2 linked regions of the Drosophila melanogaster genome follow. Changing the gene in region 2 together with the main gene of any one other region gives a genetic interaction. Each region holds a gene or a part of one and is shown on either strand. Other genes may lie near its edges.

Evidence for each region. A genetic interaction does not mean that the proteins touch.
Region 1: of Synd (region 2) and chp, changing one enhances a phenotype caused by changing the other (phenotypic enhancement), as found in Drosophila melanogaster (one study listed by BioGRID).

The regions. Positions count from the first base shown.
Region 1 is NT_033777.3:31,204,714-31,212,574, forward strand, and holds the start of chp (chaoptin), read right to left. Parts: upstream 6,018-7,861; 5' UTR 5,551-6,017; coding exon 5,548-5,550; intron 5,007-5,547; coding exon 4,770-5,006; intron 4,644-4,769; coding exon 3,930-4,643; intron 3,832-3,929; coding exon 3,656-3,831; intron 3,357-3,655; coding exon 3,222-3,356; intron 3,137-3,221; coding exon 2,908-3,136; intron 2,849-2,907; coding exon 2,239-2,848; intron 2,185-2,238; coding exon 2,054-2,184; intron 1,999-2,053; coding exon 1,742-1,998; intron 1,685-1,741; coding exon 1,543-1,684; intron 1,484-1,542; coding exon 1,125-1,483; intron 1,067-1,124; coding exon 643-1,066; intron 580-642; coding exon 338-579; intron 278-337; coding exon 91-277; intron 26-90; coding exon 1-25. Other genes in the region: zwilch, read right to left, coding at 6,472-6,539, 6,601-6,855, 6,917-7,412, 7,470-7,861. UniProt on the Drosophila melanogaster protein: Required for photoreceptor cell morphogenesis. Mediates homophilic cellular adhesion.
Region 2 is NT_033777.3:20,830,999-20,838,804, forward strand, and holds the start of Synd (syndapin), read left to right. Parts: upstream 1-1,800; 5' UTR 1,801-1,875; intron 1,876-3,398; exon of another isoform or gene 3,399-3,467; intron 3,468-4,226; 5' UTR 4,227-4,229; coding exon 4,230-4,333; intron 4,334-4,876; coding exon 4,877-4,986; intron 4,987-6,586; coding exon 6,587-6,924; intron 6,925-7,036; coding exon 7,037-7,263; intron 7,264-7,326; coding exon 7,327-7,447; intron 7,448-7,514; coding exon 7,515-7,625; intron 7,626-7,677; coding exon 7,678-7,806. Other genes in the region: CG31223 (uncharacterized protein), read left to right, coding at 190-218, 278-1,433.

The sequences.
Region 1 (7,861 bases), about 10 Mb from region 2:
CGCACTCCAGATCGAATTTGAGGGCCTATCGAGGGATAGCGATTAGCGATTAGCGACATATGCCTTGGCAATATTCCATCGGATACCCACCTCCATCAGCTGTTGCCCTCCTTTGTTCTCACAGCGCGTCTCCCTCAGGTCATCGTCGTGTTCGTCGCAGTTGTGACGTCCGTACACTTGGCAAGGTGAGTTCATGAAGGTGCGGAAGACGGTATCGGTCCAGGTTTGGGAGGAGCAGATGTACTGGCGCCTCTTGCGCTGCCAAAACTCCACCCACCTATACAAACAAATTATAATTTGCAATTCAATATCGTACAATAAGAAAACCAGGCGTTACCCTAGGTCGCAATCGCAGTTGAGATCGGTGTGAGACATCTTCAAGTCCGTGAGGAACACACTATTCGGCAGATAGGGAACAGCTCCAGTGTTTGGATTGGGAATCTTCTTCAGGTTCCTGTTGTGGTAGCGAATGTCCAGCGAAATGTTCCGAACTCGGCCCATGTACTTAAAAAAGTTCGGAGGCAAGGCTTGCAGCGAGGTATTGAATAATTGCATGTAGAGGTATGGAGAACGCATGCCCTGGATCAAATTAAATATATAATTTTTAGCTTATATAGACATCGAGTTGGAAGAATTACTCACTCTTAGAATGCGTTCATTCAGGTTGGTGAACTGGGGACCACTGAAGGTGATGTTGGTCAGCTTGGAGGGCAGATGGCCCTCCATTTCGCGCTGCAAGTCGGTGGGATTGCCCAGCTGAAGGGTCTGCATCTCCTGGGTGGGTCCAGATCCCTTCTTAACAATGCGAGTGAAGGGCTGTGGGGCCTCGATCCACAACTGGCGGATATTGTAATGGTGGCGCAACAGATGTGGAATATTAAAGTGCTCCAGGTGGGAATAGGCAGTGAGCTTAAGCGATCGCAAGTGAGGCAACGAGTCCAAACAGCCATACTCGAAGTAGTGCAGCCGGAAATTCGATATATCCAGCATCTCAAGATCCTCGTTCACGCCATCAAAACTGTTGTTGTTCAGCGAGGTTATGGGATTGCCAGAAAGCATCAGACGTCTGTTGTAAATTGCAAATACTGATTAGATAGACCATTTACCAAGTTGGATTAACGCACCTCAAGTGGGGCAGAGCTTGGGTCATCAGTGGCACATTGGTCAAGTCGTTGTTGGAGAGATCAAGCATGCGCAGATTACTCATATTGTGGGCTAGTTCCTGCGGAATCGAGGGCAGCTCATTGTAACCCAGGCGGAACTCCCGCAGATACTTCAGTCGAATCTCGGGCACCGTGCTCAGAGAAATGTTCTCCAGGCCCAGTTTGATCAGCGAGTTCTCCAAGCCCATAAACGACTTATCCATCACCTTCAGATCCCGATTGTGGGAGAGGTCCAGAACGGCCAGTTTTGGCATGGTGGCGAACACTGCATCATCAATTCGCAGCAGATAGTTGTATGAGATGTCCAGGTAGCGCAGGGACTATAGTCACAATTAAGATTGTGTCTTATAATTTTAAACGGTTTTACCAATTCACTTACTCTAAACTTGTTGGACAAATCCATGCTGTGAATGGTAGAGATAAAGTTGTTGGACAGGTGCAGTTCACAAAGCGTCAGCGCAGCCAAACTGGACAGCGATGAGGAGGGGATCTTCAACATCATGTTGTGCGACACATCCAATCTTTAAGAGTCACGAATACATTATGTCCATACATTGACTATATAGTTATTTACTCACTTTTCCATGCCTCCGTTGTAGAAGAGATTGTCGGGCAGGCCCCTCAGGTGATTATGCGAGAAGTCAACGATGCGCAGGCCTTGGACAGGTTTGAATATATCCTGGGGAATGTCACTGAGGTAATTGTGGCCAAAGAAGACCAGCTGGAGCTGTTTGGTGTTCTTGAAGGCATCAAAGTCCAGTTCGTGGATCCAGTTGTAGCTGAGGTCCAGCCATTGCAAGTGGGGCATGTTGCCGAAGACATCACGAGTCGTGTTCTAAAGGGTCAAAGGGTATAAAAGGCTGGTAACAAAGTCATACAATTTGTTTTACCATCAGCGAATTGTAGCCCAGATGTAGGTGTGTCAGCGAAATTTCAGCAGGCCGGAAGTATCCAGGATGGATAATAGATATATTGTTGTGGGAAAGATCCAATATCTTAATATTCGAGTGGTACATGCCACCTGTATAGTGAAGCTATTAACAAACTGGAGATTTGCTAGTAAAGAAGACCCTACCATGTTCATTTCGTCCACTCCACGAGGAATTGTACATCAACTGCCTGATTTGATTGTGGCTCACGTTCACATTAAGATTCGAAAGGGTACCCACTTGGTCGAAGTAGTCAAAGTTGAAGTTGGGTAGCTGATTGAAGGCCATGTCCAGGATCTCCAGTTTCGGTAGGTTCTGGAAGGACTCGTCGGCCAGGTTGTTTATCTTGTTGCCCCTCAAGCTTAGATACTCCAGCTCATCCAGGTTCATAAAGGCTCTTCGCTCGATCTTGTCAATCTTATTGTCATCCAGATGCAGTTTCCTCAAGGCTTCCAGATCGAAGAAGGTATGCTGGGATATGGAGGTCAGGTGGTTGAAGCGAAGCGAGATCTCCTCCAGCTTTGAGTGAATGTCGCCCTGGAAGGTGCCCTTTAAAACCTGCTCGATCCTGTTGTCATGAAGCTCTAGGAGCCGCAAGTTCTTCAGGAAATGGAAACTGGTGTCGCTCATGCTGCTGATGTGATTGTTGCTAAAGTCCAGCTCTTGGAGGGAGGTCAGATGCCTTAGGGGTTCAGCTGGCAGGGCACTGCCAGAATAGCCGTGCGACATCTTCAGAGAGATGAGCGAGTGACCAATCTAAAAAATAGATTTTTTTATTAAGTGAGCCCAATTATATTAAGAAAATCCTGAATAACCTCATGGAAGGCATCGTTCTCTATGCTTGATATTCCGTTCTCGCTAAAGTCCAGCCTTTTCAGACCCCTAACGTGCTTGAAGGCGTGCGATTGAATCCCGGAGAGACTGGCCCTGGTGATCTGCAGATCCTCCAGCTCCACGCCGAAGTCCTTGAAGTCCTCGGGTCCCACGGAGGAGGATCCCAGGCGCGAGATCGACAGTGATCTCATGTTCCGCATTCTGGTCATACTTTTTGTAAATAAATACAAGAGTGGTTCTGGGGTGAAGGGTGTGTGGGGAGCAGGATGTTTCTCGGTGCACTGGGTTCACTTACTTGCGCAGGGTCTGCAGATTGGTGGGGTCGTTGCGGTCTCCACTCAGGTCCAATTTCAGGAGGGTGTAGTGCACCGCATTGAAGGTCTCCGTGGGCTTCTGGATCTTGATCTTATTGTCCCGCATGCTGATGACCCTATTATTAAGAAATAAATGTATAGAATTATAATTTACCATTATAAAATTCAATAATAGCTATGCAAATCAAGCTTTTTCTCAGTGCCGCGTATTTTTGCAAGATTGCCTGATTGCGCGGCTTTTCCCTCTTCCTCGAATTCTTTTAAATAGGGTCACCCACTTGTCGCACACACGAACTTAGGAACTTGAGAAGCCTTAGAGGCTGCCGGCAATCCGATTAGTTCCCCCCAATATGCACATGTGCAAATGGAATGGGGGCAGAACGTGAGTGAATCGGAGTGCAGGTGCTCGACTCACCTCAAGACATCGAAATTGTTGAAGAGCTTATGATGCAGCTTGGTGAGATTGTTGCCAGACAAATCCAGGATCTGGAGGCTGTTCACCAGGCTGTCAAAGGCCACAGGCGAAATGTTGGTCAGGCCGCAGTAGCGCATGTAGATCTCCCTGATTCGAGCGGGCTTAAATGCATCTTCCTGAAAGCGAACCGTAAGTTCCAAATATGTTATTTATAAATCAAATTTCTGGGAGGGATTTTCGTCCAGTTAAGTTTCACAAGGGTTAGTTAACCTACCCTCAGAGTGTGAATGGGATTGCCATCGAAGAAGGTGCGGTTGACGGTATCGAAGTACTTGAATGAATTGGGAGGCAGGACCTCGATGTGATTGTACTCCAGGTGTAGATTGTCCAGATTCAGCTTGGTGCTGGCCTTGATCTCGTAGGTTTCGTTGCCACTGAGCGACCAGATCACATTGTGGGAGATATCTAGGGTGCGAAGGCTCTTTAGCGGACCCAGGGCGTCGTACGGAATCTCCGAGAGGATATTGTCCGTGAGCAACAGACGGGTCAGCCTCGGCATTCCATCGACGAACACATTCGGATCGATCTCGAACAGGTTGTTCCCACTCAGGTCGAGGGTCTCAAGAATGAGGAGCCCGGAGAAGCTGTGCGACATCAGCTGCGATATGCAGTTCTCGCGCAGGATCAGCGTCTGCAGCGAGTCCTCCAGGCCGCGGAACGAGTCGTGCTGAATGTGCGTTATGTGGTTGTAGCCCAGGTCCAGATGACGCAGCTTCTGCAGGTGCCTCAGGGACTTGGACGGGATCTCCACCAGGTCGTTCTGCGGCAGAATCAGCTCCCACAGCGATCGCTCCAGGCCGGTGAAGGCATCATCTGGGATCTCGGTGAGATGGTTCCCAGAGATCTTTAGGCGGTACATGCCCGTGGACTGCAGGAAGTAGGGCTCAATCTCCCGCAGACCTGTGTTCTCCATGTGCAGCATGAAAACCTAAACCAGAATACATTCCAGTTATCGGAGTTAATAAATTAATGTGGTGGTGGTTATGGGTAATTAAATGGGTATGACCAGAACTAAAAGTGTTGATTTATGGAGATAGCTAATCTTACGACTCACCTTTGACTGGTTCACCATGCGCGGCAGTGCCGGAAACGGAACATTCTTGCAGTGCACTATCCCCAGATCCGTGGAGGACTTGGAGCAGGTGCACATCACGTTGTAGGTGCAGGGCGGGTAATGCGTCTCCTCCATCTCGCGATCGAACATGGAGGCGCGAGCCAGCGACATCCAGATCATGATCATGAGCGTTATAGTCAGGAAGGCATAGCCGAACTTAAAGAAAAATTCGAGGCCCTAGGGATAGAATGGATAATGTACTGGGTACTGGGATGACTAATTATAGGAAGACTAGCACTTAGTCACAAGAGAAAGTTTTCCAACCAGCTTTATAGTATCCATAGATATCTATAGAACGATATAGGTTTATCATCTTAAAATAGTATCCATTAAATAATATCCTTTAATTGAATTCTAGCCCGCATTGCAAAGGATCAGTTTTTTCTCAGCTAAATAGATTATGAAAACGTCAGCAGGACGTTTAACTTTTTACTTTTAATATGGCTTCTCAAGCCTGTTAGCAGTTTCACTACGACTTCGCAAAAGGATTAGCTGTTGTGTCTGGAAAAGTTTCCGAGGATAAGTTCAGGGGTGACTAGACCAAAGGGGTGTCTTCATTTCACAGGATTTGAATCCGTCCATGGTTTTTTTTAAGTCGCAAGACTTAGGCACTTCAAGGGCTACTCGCATAGATTATCAAATGTCCTCTTTTGTAGTTCAATAGCAATTTAGATTTAGTTTAGCAGGATATCAGGCCATTTTGTTGGCCAATACACACCATTTTGCTGTAAATTAAATTAGACACTCGCGACACTTGGCGATTTAAACAAACTTAATTAAGATTTCACGGGCACTGTTCACTCTTCACTCTTTAGTCAACTGTCCAAAAAATTTGATTTGATTTCCAGCTCCCAGTGGCTATATTCCCTGGCCAGGACACTCGCGTGGAAATCCTTGCTTGAAATTCCGTTCGCTTTTCAGGGGAAAAACAGGGCTGGAAAAAACACGACCGAACCGCTGCGCGTTCCACGCACGTCTGACAAACTGCAAATCAATCAGCGACGGGCCAAGTACTCTAGTTGGCCAACTGGCGCATCCGGCTAATTGGATTGTAACATATCGGGAATGCTCGATGGCGCCGTCACCATTGGGCACACACTCTTTTCGCCTCATTTGCAGCATTACTTCACTGGAGGAATGGCCAAATGCTGGTCATGCTGACCTTTGTATAGAATATGGCCGGCAAAAACACTGTGATAAAAGTGCGAGCAGGGCGGAAGCGGATTTCGGCCAGGTTTTCAAGATTCCCAATGCAGCTGCAATAGCCTCTGGGTCGGCTTAAAACTTGTACGAGTTCGTTTAACATGATTTCGGTGTGCACTGCTGACTTTTTTGGAGGTTTGCGAAAACGCGTCGAAGAGCGTGTTCAACAAGCTCAAACAATTAAAATTCCGAACAAAAAGGTTCGATAGAAAAAAAGTTTGAAAAGTTATAACCAAAAGGCATTTAATTTAATAATACAACAAGCAGTGTTTGAAAAAATTCAACATTTTAAATGTGTCTCAAAACATTATGCAGCTAAGGGACATTCTTGCTAGATATCCATTAAATAAATTATTACAATGTGAAAAAGGCCATTTTAAACCATTCTTAGCCATGCTTAAATTTAAAGAATGTACAATTTTGTATTACTAAGCAAGCCTTACTTAAGTGAGCGAATCTTGTGATATATCCAGGAATGATATGTGCGCTCCTTGACCATCTCCTTGTCTGCGAAGTCAAATATATTACCATAGCTATAGAAAATAAACAAGTCAAAAAGCAAACTTACCATCACACTGGAAACACTGAGCCAAGTTCGGCGGACAAATGTTTTCCGAATTGAAATAGAAGGTGGTCTTTAGTTCGCGGAACTTGTTGTGCGAACGCATGGTAATGTGCCGGGAGTAGGGATCCTTGCCATCCAAGTGATCCCTCACATAGTGGGCAGACAGGCGAATGTCCATAACATCACTTAGCTGATCATCGATGGATTCTACTAATTTAGGCGGTTTCTTCAGCAATTCAGAACAGACATCGTTGTAAACTGTAGGTCAAAAACGGAGTTATAGCTAAAAATCCCAGGATCTGCTTTTTGTCCTTCTTACCATTTGCCAGATTTAAGTGGATGTGCATCATCAGGAGATGCTCTAAGGTGCAGTGAATCTGAAACAACTTTGAGATTCTCTCCGTACTCTCGTGCTCGTCGAAATGGCTGTTTTTGAACCCAGCATCATCGTCGCTACCGGCATATTTTGTACTCCGCGAATTGACAGCGCCGTGATGATGCAGCAGCGTCTTTCGCATTCCAGCTCCAGGGGTCGGATCACCCCTGACCGCATTGTGCAGGGATTTTCGAAGCTGGGGCAGATTCTGGGGAGAACCATCGTCCATCGACGCTCCGCTGGAGTCATCCTTCAACAGATTGGTGCTGCACATCTTGCTCTCGGTGTAGATAAACTCGTAGTCCTTGTACAACTTCTCCAGGCCAATTTCCAAAAGCAGTTCCAGAGGCTCGGCCCCACTTAAACAAGGCATGGCCAGACGACGGTTGGCCAACTCGGTGATAATCTTGGCAAGTCGATTTTTGTTAGTAGGCGTGTTCTATGGGGTGAGGAACATGAATAATATGTGGTGGTTTGCATGCATTAGCATACTTACTACTATGTTACACCGTGCAGCACATTGGAAGAGCATACTAAAGGCAATTTTGAGATCCTTGTAGGAGTGGCAGCACTTGAGCAGCTCCCAAAGCTTATCGGTTAGATCCGTGAGCTGGCGAACCTTGGCCCTCTGCACCACATCTTCGATGTCAAACTCCGCATTGCTGATGCTATACCGACCTATAAGGCCAGAGACATCTGTCATTGTCTGATTAATGGACTCGCGCAGCTCGTCCATGTCAATGCCACTGCCACAACGATAGGTGGGATCCCGAGAGACGCCCTGCTTGACATCCGTGTGGTAGGAGACGATGTCCTCGCGTATGTAGACCAGAATGCGCAGCTGATTCATAAAGTCCTGCGTCAAAGGACCGCAGTCGCCCACGCGAA
Region 2 (7,806 bases):
TCAAATTAAATCCAACTCTTATAATATCTAAGTCGTATAATTTGTTTACAAACAACTTTATTTTGTTTACAACAAAATAAAAACTTATCCATTTGAAAAGCCGTTACTTAACGAATCGTGGTTACGGTCACACTACAGCGATCAGCTGTTGGCGACCGCACTATTTTGTTTATTCCATTTTGTTTGACCATGTCGGAAGCCGATGAAAAGTGTCACTTGTAAGTAGTTAACAAGTAATATTAATTATAGCGGTTCAATATATATTAATCTCCTGCAGCTGTCGCGAGGTGTCCTTCAAGTACACCTGTCCCAAGTGCAATGCTTTGTATTGCAGCGTGGGATGCTACAAGTCCAAGGAGCACCTTAAATGTTCCGAGGCTTTCTACAAGTCCTGCATTCAGGACGAGCTGACCCAAAACACGGTAACGCAGGAAAGCCAGGAGGACATGCGGAAAATATACGACATACTGAAGAGGATGAGAGAAACGGACAGTGGTTTCAATCCCCAGGAATTTGATACAGATGGCCTGGAAAATAGTTTGGACTCGGATGGAGGCGAGGAAGGAGAGTCAGAAGAAGATGAGGCGGAAGAAAACGTCACCGAGGGGGACATACTGGATGAAGACCTGGAGGAAGACATTGCAACTCGACTGAAAGGCGTTGATATCAACGATGCGGATGAAGTTTGGAGCCGGTTAACTACAGAGGAGCAAGATGAGTTCCAGAAATTGATCACCAATGGAGATATCATGAAGCTTATGCCAGACTACAAGCCCTGGTGGATCAAGCCGAAGAACTCTAAGATTGTGATTATACCTACACCCGAAGAAGCTGCCAAGAAAGAGAGCCGTGTTCCCGAAATTTTCGGGAGCATTGCCAAATTCTCCGATATATGCAAGAAAACTCCGTCTCCGTGCCTGCACTACAATTTGTGGAACATACTAAGCGCCTACGCCTGTGTGGCTCGTTTCTTTGGCGGCGAACAGAGGACCAATGCCAGCGAGGCAGTGGCCCACCTTGTCAATCTCAGCGCCACCTTAAAGTACGGCACCAACTTCGAGGATGCTGAGGACGCTATTGTCTCCGTAGAGATGGAAGCCATCACCACGGGTAATGGTCCTGCCGGCGCGGCTGCAGTTGGAAGTGCTGCAGGAGGTGCCAATTTCCTCGTCGACAACAGGGAGCAGCTGCAGCAGGATGCCCGCCAGTTGATGGCTACGAAGGAGCACAAGTTGGCCGCCCTTAGTGATGTTCTCTATCTGCTGCAGCAGACGAAGGCAATCAGTCGCCGTAAGAATACCCAGGAAGCCGAGTTCCAGAAGCTGTTCGCTTTGGCCAGCGGAAGTGTGCAATTGGATCGCACCAAACTGGCGCAACTGGTTCGCAAAATCGAGTTTATGCTGTCGTATGTGGCGCGGGAAGAAGTCCTTTAAGCAATCCTCTAAAATAAACATTTCAAAATAATTCTGTTTTTATATTGTCCACAAAATTTGGAGCGGTATTGACTATAGATTGATTGTTATTTTATTGTTTTATTTTACTTGGAATTTAAATACAACTATGTATAATTAGTGTACACATTTTGATTGGAAACTTCAGTATTTTAAGGACTTAAAGAACAAATTGGTTTAAGTAAAACTTGACTTTGTGCTAGTACTGTAACTAGTACTTAAAAATATGTACAGATGTCTTAAAAATAAATGTATATCCTAAATACATTTCGGTATTTTTGTATTCGTATGGAGCGGTATTTTCAGCTAGCCGCGAGGTGTATTTGAATGGTCGCGAAACGGTCACACCTCACATAGTTTTTTTAGTTGGCGATTCCAGACACACACTCGAGTTGTAGTGCTTTTTTACGCTATTTTGTTATTGGTAGGTTGTCGCCCTGCTTCGGTATGAACAAGTGCCAGAGACCCAAAGCCAAGGATTATTTAACAACCATTTAAATGCAGTGCAGCTGCAGCAGCAGCAACAACAAAAGCGATCGCAATTTAGAACAGAACATTTCATGTAAACGCGTTTGGGTGTAGCGGAATTTCGCTTCCCGTGTGTTTGTGTGACCTAGCCGAGCGTGTGTGCGTGTCGGTGTGCGTCTGGCAACAACAAAATCCAATCGGCCAGCAAGTGCTCTTCGTACGCTTCGCCTGCTAAAAATTAGTGCACAGCGAAAGCATTTTAATAGCAGCGCCCCAAGAAAACCTTATGTAAGGTGTGCTGGAAAACGATGCAAATATTTACAGTAGAAACGGTCGAGACAAGTTCAATCTCAAAGATAAACGAGTTTCTTGGTTGTTTGGCGGAGGGGGATTTCTTATCGCCTAAGTGTGCGACGTGTTGGTTTAGATGTGCATATACGTATGTGTGTGTGTGTGTGTGGCGCGAGTGCTTGTGAGAGCGCCGTAAAGGTGCTTATCTATCTCCACAAATATGCGAAGTATGCGTCAACCTGTTTGTAAACTTTCTGCTGGCCATTTCCACACGCAAAACACGAAAATCGCACTGAGCCGCGATCCTATATTTATATTTATAGCCGATGATGGGGAAAATCCGTAAGCGCATCGTGAGTCGATGACGCCCAAATCAAGTCAACCCAAGATACAAGATTCCACATTCAGCAGACCCAACATCACCAATCTACACATGTGTGTAGGTGATTAAACTTCAGCAGAGGTTATTATACATATATAAATAAGAAAGCATGTATATAACCGGTCAATGCTGCTGATAACATAACCGTTATTCACCATACGGGTGTGTGCGAGTGGAACTCAAACTGACTGCATTGTTTACAAACAGCTGATGCAGGGAAACTCCACTCCACTGATAAGATACCAAGATTTCCCATCGCCGAGTATGAAAAAATTTAGCTCGCTACACAGAGAGAATTGAAATGTTAAATGTTGTCACACGTAAGGGTCTCCAATACGATGTACACTGCTGCTCTTAGGTTAGACGCACAATCGTTTTTTTTTTAACAAAATCGATCATTTATTTGCATGCTTTTTTTAATTGTCCAAAATGCTTTTCTTATCAAAGTTTTCTGTTGGTCATTGAATTAGATGCAGCTTAAATTTCTTCGTATTGCGTGGACAAGTATAAACTGTTGTATTGAAAAAATATAACAAATAAACGAATAAAGTGTTTTCGAGCTACATTTGAAGAAAAAATGGGTAAAGCTGCTGCTTATTGGAACGTCAAAAAGTAGACTTCCTACACTCGCAAGGATTGCCTAATCGGAACATTGCCAAACAGATAAATCGCAGCTGCAGAACTGTTGATAGATATTTGAAGGTTCCAGAGGCATATGGGAATAACTTCAAAGGAAAGAAAAAAGCACTATCAAAGCAAGCAGAACGCCAAATTGTTAGAATTGCTTCGAATTCTAATTTTCGAATTTGTCCGGAGTAAAAACAAGCGTATCAACTGTTCAGCGTACAATCAGAAATGCAGAACACCTGAAGCGTGTATGTATATTAAATTTCAAATTCAATTTTTGGGATCTCATTTATCTGGGTTACAAAATATGGGTGCATGAGAATTCCCTTGATAAGATGAAACTATTACGGTGGAAAATGTATGCTACACAGAAAGAAAATCTGTCAACATTATCTATTTATCTCAAAAAACAGAAATAATATTTGAAAGCGATACTAAAAATAATCGAATTCAAAATAAATTACAAATATTTATTTATCTTAATATGGTTAAAAATATGTTTATTTTTTAGTTTCGAAGAAAATTTTTTCAATTAAAATAAGACATTACCTTAATATTCCAATTTGAAAATAGTAAACCCATTGGCAGAACACCATGCAAAGTTGCACAATGAGTCAGGGGTGATAAGTCCAGTCTTTATCAATGGGGACACTCGGCGAAACCGTCAAGAAATATGGTCGTTGATAAGGCTCCAGTAATTAAAGTTCTGCCTGTTGCATCAATGTGAAGGAATTTCTTAATTGAACAAATTAGGCAAACAATAAATTTACTCAGAGCCCGTCTCGTTTGGGTTTACTATAGTATGTCGTTTAACAAACGATTTGTTGGTCTTAGCCAAACACTACAAAAATACAAGTTTGCGTATAAACAAAGAGCTTTTTGTTGTTGCTGCTGTGTGGAAGTTGTTTATGTCTGCAGTGTCTATTTACGTAACAAAACTCATATTTTACGATTATTGCGCTTAAGCCCGTCGTATGTGATTGATTAATATTGATTGGAATCCACAGGAAATGTCCCACCACAGCGATGATCAGCTCCTCCAGGCTGGAAGCGATTCCTTCTGGGAGCCCGGCAACTACAAACGCACCACCAAGCGGATCGAGGATGGTTACAAGTGAGTGGATAATCCCCAGGGAGTCTTGGTGCACAGAGAGATACTTTATTTTGCCATTATGTCAGTCGAATTCCTCGACATAATACAATTGGCTTAATATTCAAAAACATATTCGTAGCTGCAACCCAATCGTTTTTCAACGTTTCTGTCATACCAATTGGTATTGGTAACTGTATCTTTTCTGTGTGTTTAGTAGGTCATGCAGTGTCATCACATTGTTTTGAATGCAAACTTACAGCAATTCGTATTTATTTAAGGGAAAAAAATAAGAAAATATAAAGACCTTGGTATAAGCATTGGTCTTAGTATTAACTCAATTTGTTCTACTTATGTGGACATTTCATAAACTTTTTTAATGAGCTTTGATTTCTAGTGATACAATCAATCTTTTTAAGCAAATAGGTAATGGGTTCTCTCTGTGTATTTGCACTGGGCGACGCTGGGTCATTGCCAGCCGAATATATCGACACCCGAAGCCCAAACCCAAGACAAAAATTCAAACCGGTTTGCATTATTATGATTCTTGTCTCATTTCGCCCGCAGACTCTGCAATGACCTACAGCAACTGATTCAGGAGCGTGCCGACATCGAGAAGGGATATGCGAAAAGCCTGCGCACCTGGTCAAAGAAATGGGGTGAACTCATTGAGAAAGGTAAGTGAGCGGCAGGTGGGGATCTGGTGAGATATGGGGATGTGGGTGGCTGTGGCCTGTGGGATGAGACATCATCAGTCGTGGAAGCCTTCTGTTGGCCAACACATTCATTCACGAGCTAAAAGCCCAGTGGAGCATCAAGTGACCCGCTCACGTTGAATTCCCACCACTTATTTGGCCCACTGGCTGTTCTTATTTTCTACATTCTGTACATCATTCTGAGCATTGTTGTTGCCGTTGTGCGATAAGTGGCTTAAGCTATTAATGGTTTTTTTTACGTTTTTCGTTACCTCGTTTTTGTCGGTTGTATTCTGCAAAAGCTGCGCACTGTGGTTCAAAATCGCCACACCAATTTATTTAAGTATGTTAATGAGCGGGGCTGGCAAAGTGTTTGGATTAACTAACATAAACATATGCATACACTCTTCACACTCTTCATTCTAAACAATTAAAATTCGGCAGCGGAAATCTTAAGTTTGTACAAGAGAAAATAATAAATAAATAAAGAATCAAATATCTGTGGGTTTCTGCTTTATAGTAATATACAATTTTTATTTTTTGATATATAAGTTATATGGGTTCTTAAGGTTTTATTACCTTGCTATTGCCTCATATATGTACTTCTATAAGTACACACTACCAAATACTATTTTCGAAAACGGCGGTAATCATCGACTCACTCATTGTTTTCGGAATTGGGTCTTTGACCATTTTTAGCGGATGTCCGGCACAGTGTGCGCGCTTCTTCGTAAAATGAAATCGAGTACAGCGCTTGCGAAGTTGGAAACCGCTTTGCCCCATTGGTACTGTTTGCTTCTATTGCTGCTATTTTCTGTGACCGCCTCTGCACGGAATTCTCAGTGTCCACTTTCACAGTAACCAGCGATGGGCAATTGCAAAAGCGACTACCATCACTTCCTCCGCCTCCGAGTGCTCTTCGAGTTTTCTTATTTGCGAGGAATTTGCCTAGCCGCGTCTAGCCAAAGATACAGATACGAATACGTGTGCAGATACAAATACAGATACAGATACGTTCACAGTTACAGATACGGAGACTGGGAGGCAGAAGCGCTGGACAGTGGCCCATAACTCGGCACCAAAGCAAACCGGCACCAGAGCGTCGCTTGAAATGGTTTCAAAAATCAATGCGACGAGAAAATAGAACGAGTTATTTGTGTGCTAAGCGTCTCAATTTCTATATATCTGTTTGTGTGCCTTTTCACAGGGGGAATTGGGAATAGTGAGTCGTTAGGCAAACGAGTTCCGTGCACTGCCAATTATAAGACGAGCATCATATCAACTTGATTGCCGTGTGTTTGGGGTCCCAATAAAAAATGCCAAAAATGTACGATGTTCCTCCATCGCAGCACCCATACAAGCGCTTATTCTTCGGGCATTTTATATTTGCTATACCTATAGATATGGCTACATATGTATGTTTGTATATATCTTGCGGCTGCGGCTGATTAGATAAACCAAGTACCCGCGGGGCTCACGATGACGTCAGCCGCAAACAGCTCGACAGGGTGACACGCTTGTAATCTGTTGTTAATTGAGAAACGCTAAAAGAGATATATAACGAATGTCTGATTTGTTTCAGGCCCGGAATACGGAACCACGGAGGCAGCCTGGAAGGGCGTTCTGACGGAATCGGAACGCATCTCCGACGTTCACATGAAGATCAAGGACAATCTCTGCAACGATGTGAACAGCCAGATAAAGACGTGGCAGAAGGAGAACTACCACCACACGCTTATGCAGATCAAGGAGCGCAAGGACCTGGAGGATCTGTTCAAGAAGGCCCAGAAACCCTGGGCCAAGCTGCTGGCAAAGGTCGAGAAGGCCAAAGCGGACTACCATTCGGCCTGCAAGACGGAGCGCAGTGCTACCAATCAGGAACGCAATGCCAATGCCGATAGCTCGTTGTCGCCGGATCAGGTAAGGATCTTTTTTGTAAAAGCAATAGTTTAGTTATACATATGTATGTATAACTATTAATTTAATTTATTTATTAATTTTATGCTCACACCACTTCTCATTTCCTAATTAGGTGAAGAAAATGCACGATCGAGTGCAAAAGACCAAAGATCAAGTGCAAAAGTGCCGGGAAAAGTACGAGCAGGCGATTGCCGAAATCACCAAATACAATTCGGTGTACATCGAGGACATGACATCCGTGTTTGAAAAGTGCCAAACCTTTGAGAAGACGCGTTTGCAGTTCTTCAAAGAAATCCTGTTCAACGTGCACTCGTGCCTGGACCTCACAAAAGTGCAAAGGTGCGAATTGAATTTGATTTGAGTTTAACTGATCCATTTAAATAACTTTTACATGACTTACAGCCTGCCCCAAATCTACGAGGAGTTCTCCCACACGATCAACAATGCAGACCAGCAGAAAGACCTAAAATGGTGGTCGAACAATCATGGCATTAACATGGCCATGAATTGGCCATCATTTGTGGTGAGTTTTCTGTTTTTACTGAAGCCCAGTGTGGCCGCTAATGGAAGAACTTCCTATTTGTTGACAGGAATATACGGAGGAGTTCCGTGACATTGCCAAGGGCAACAAATCAAAAGAGGCACTGCCGGCAGCACCCATCACGCTCATCAACCAGCGACCTGTGGCCGAGGATGTGCACGTAAGCCAGTTGACTACCCAGTAGTTAATATCAGACTAAGCCAGCTCTTTAGCAGGAATACCCCCAGACAAACAGCCTGAAGAAGAACACCAGCACCTTGAGCAGTGTCAGCAGCAGAGCGAGTGTGAAGAGCGAAATAGCGACCACGCAATCCTCAGTCACCACATCGGAAGCCAAAACA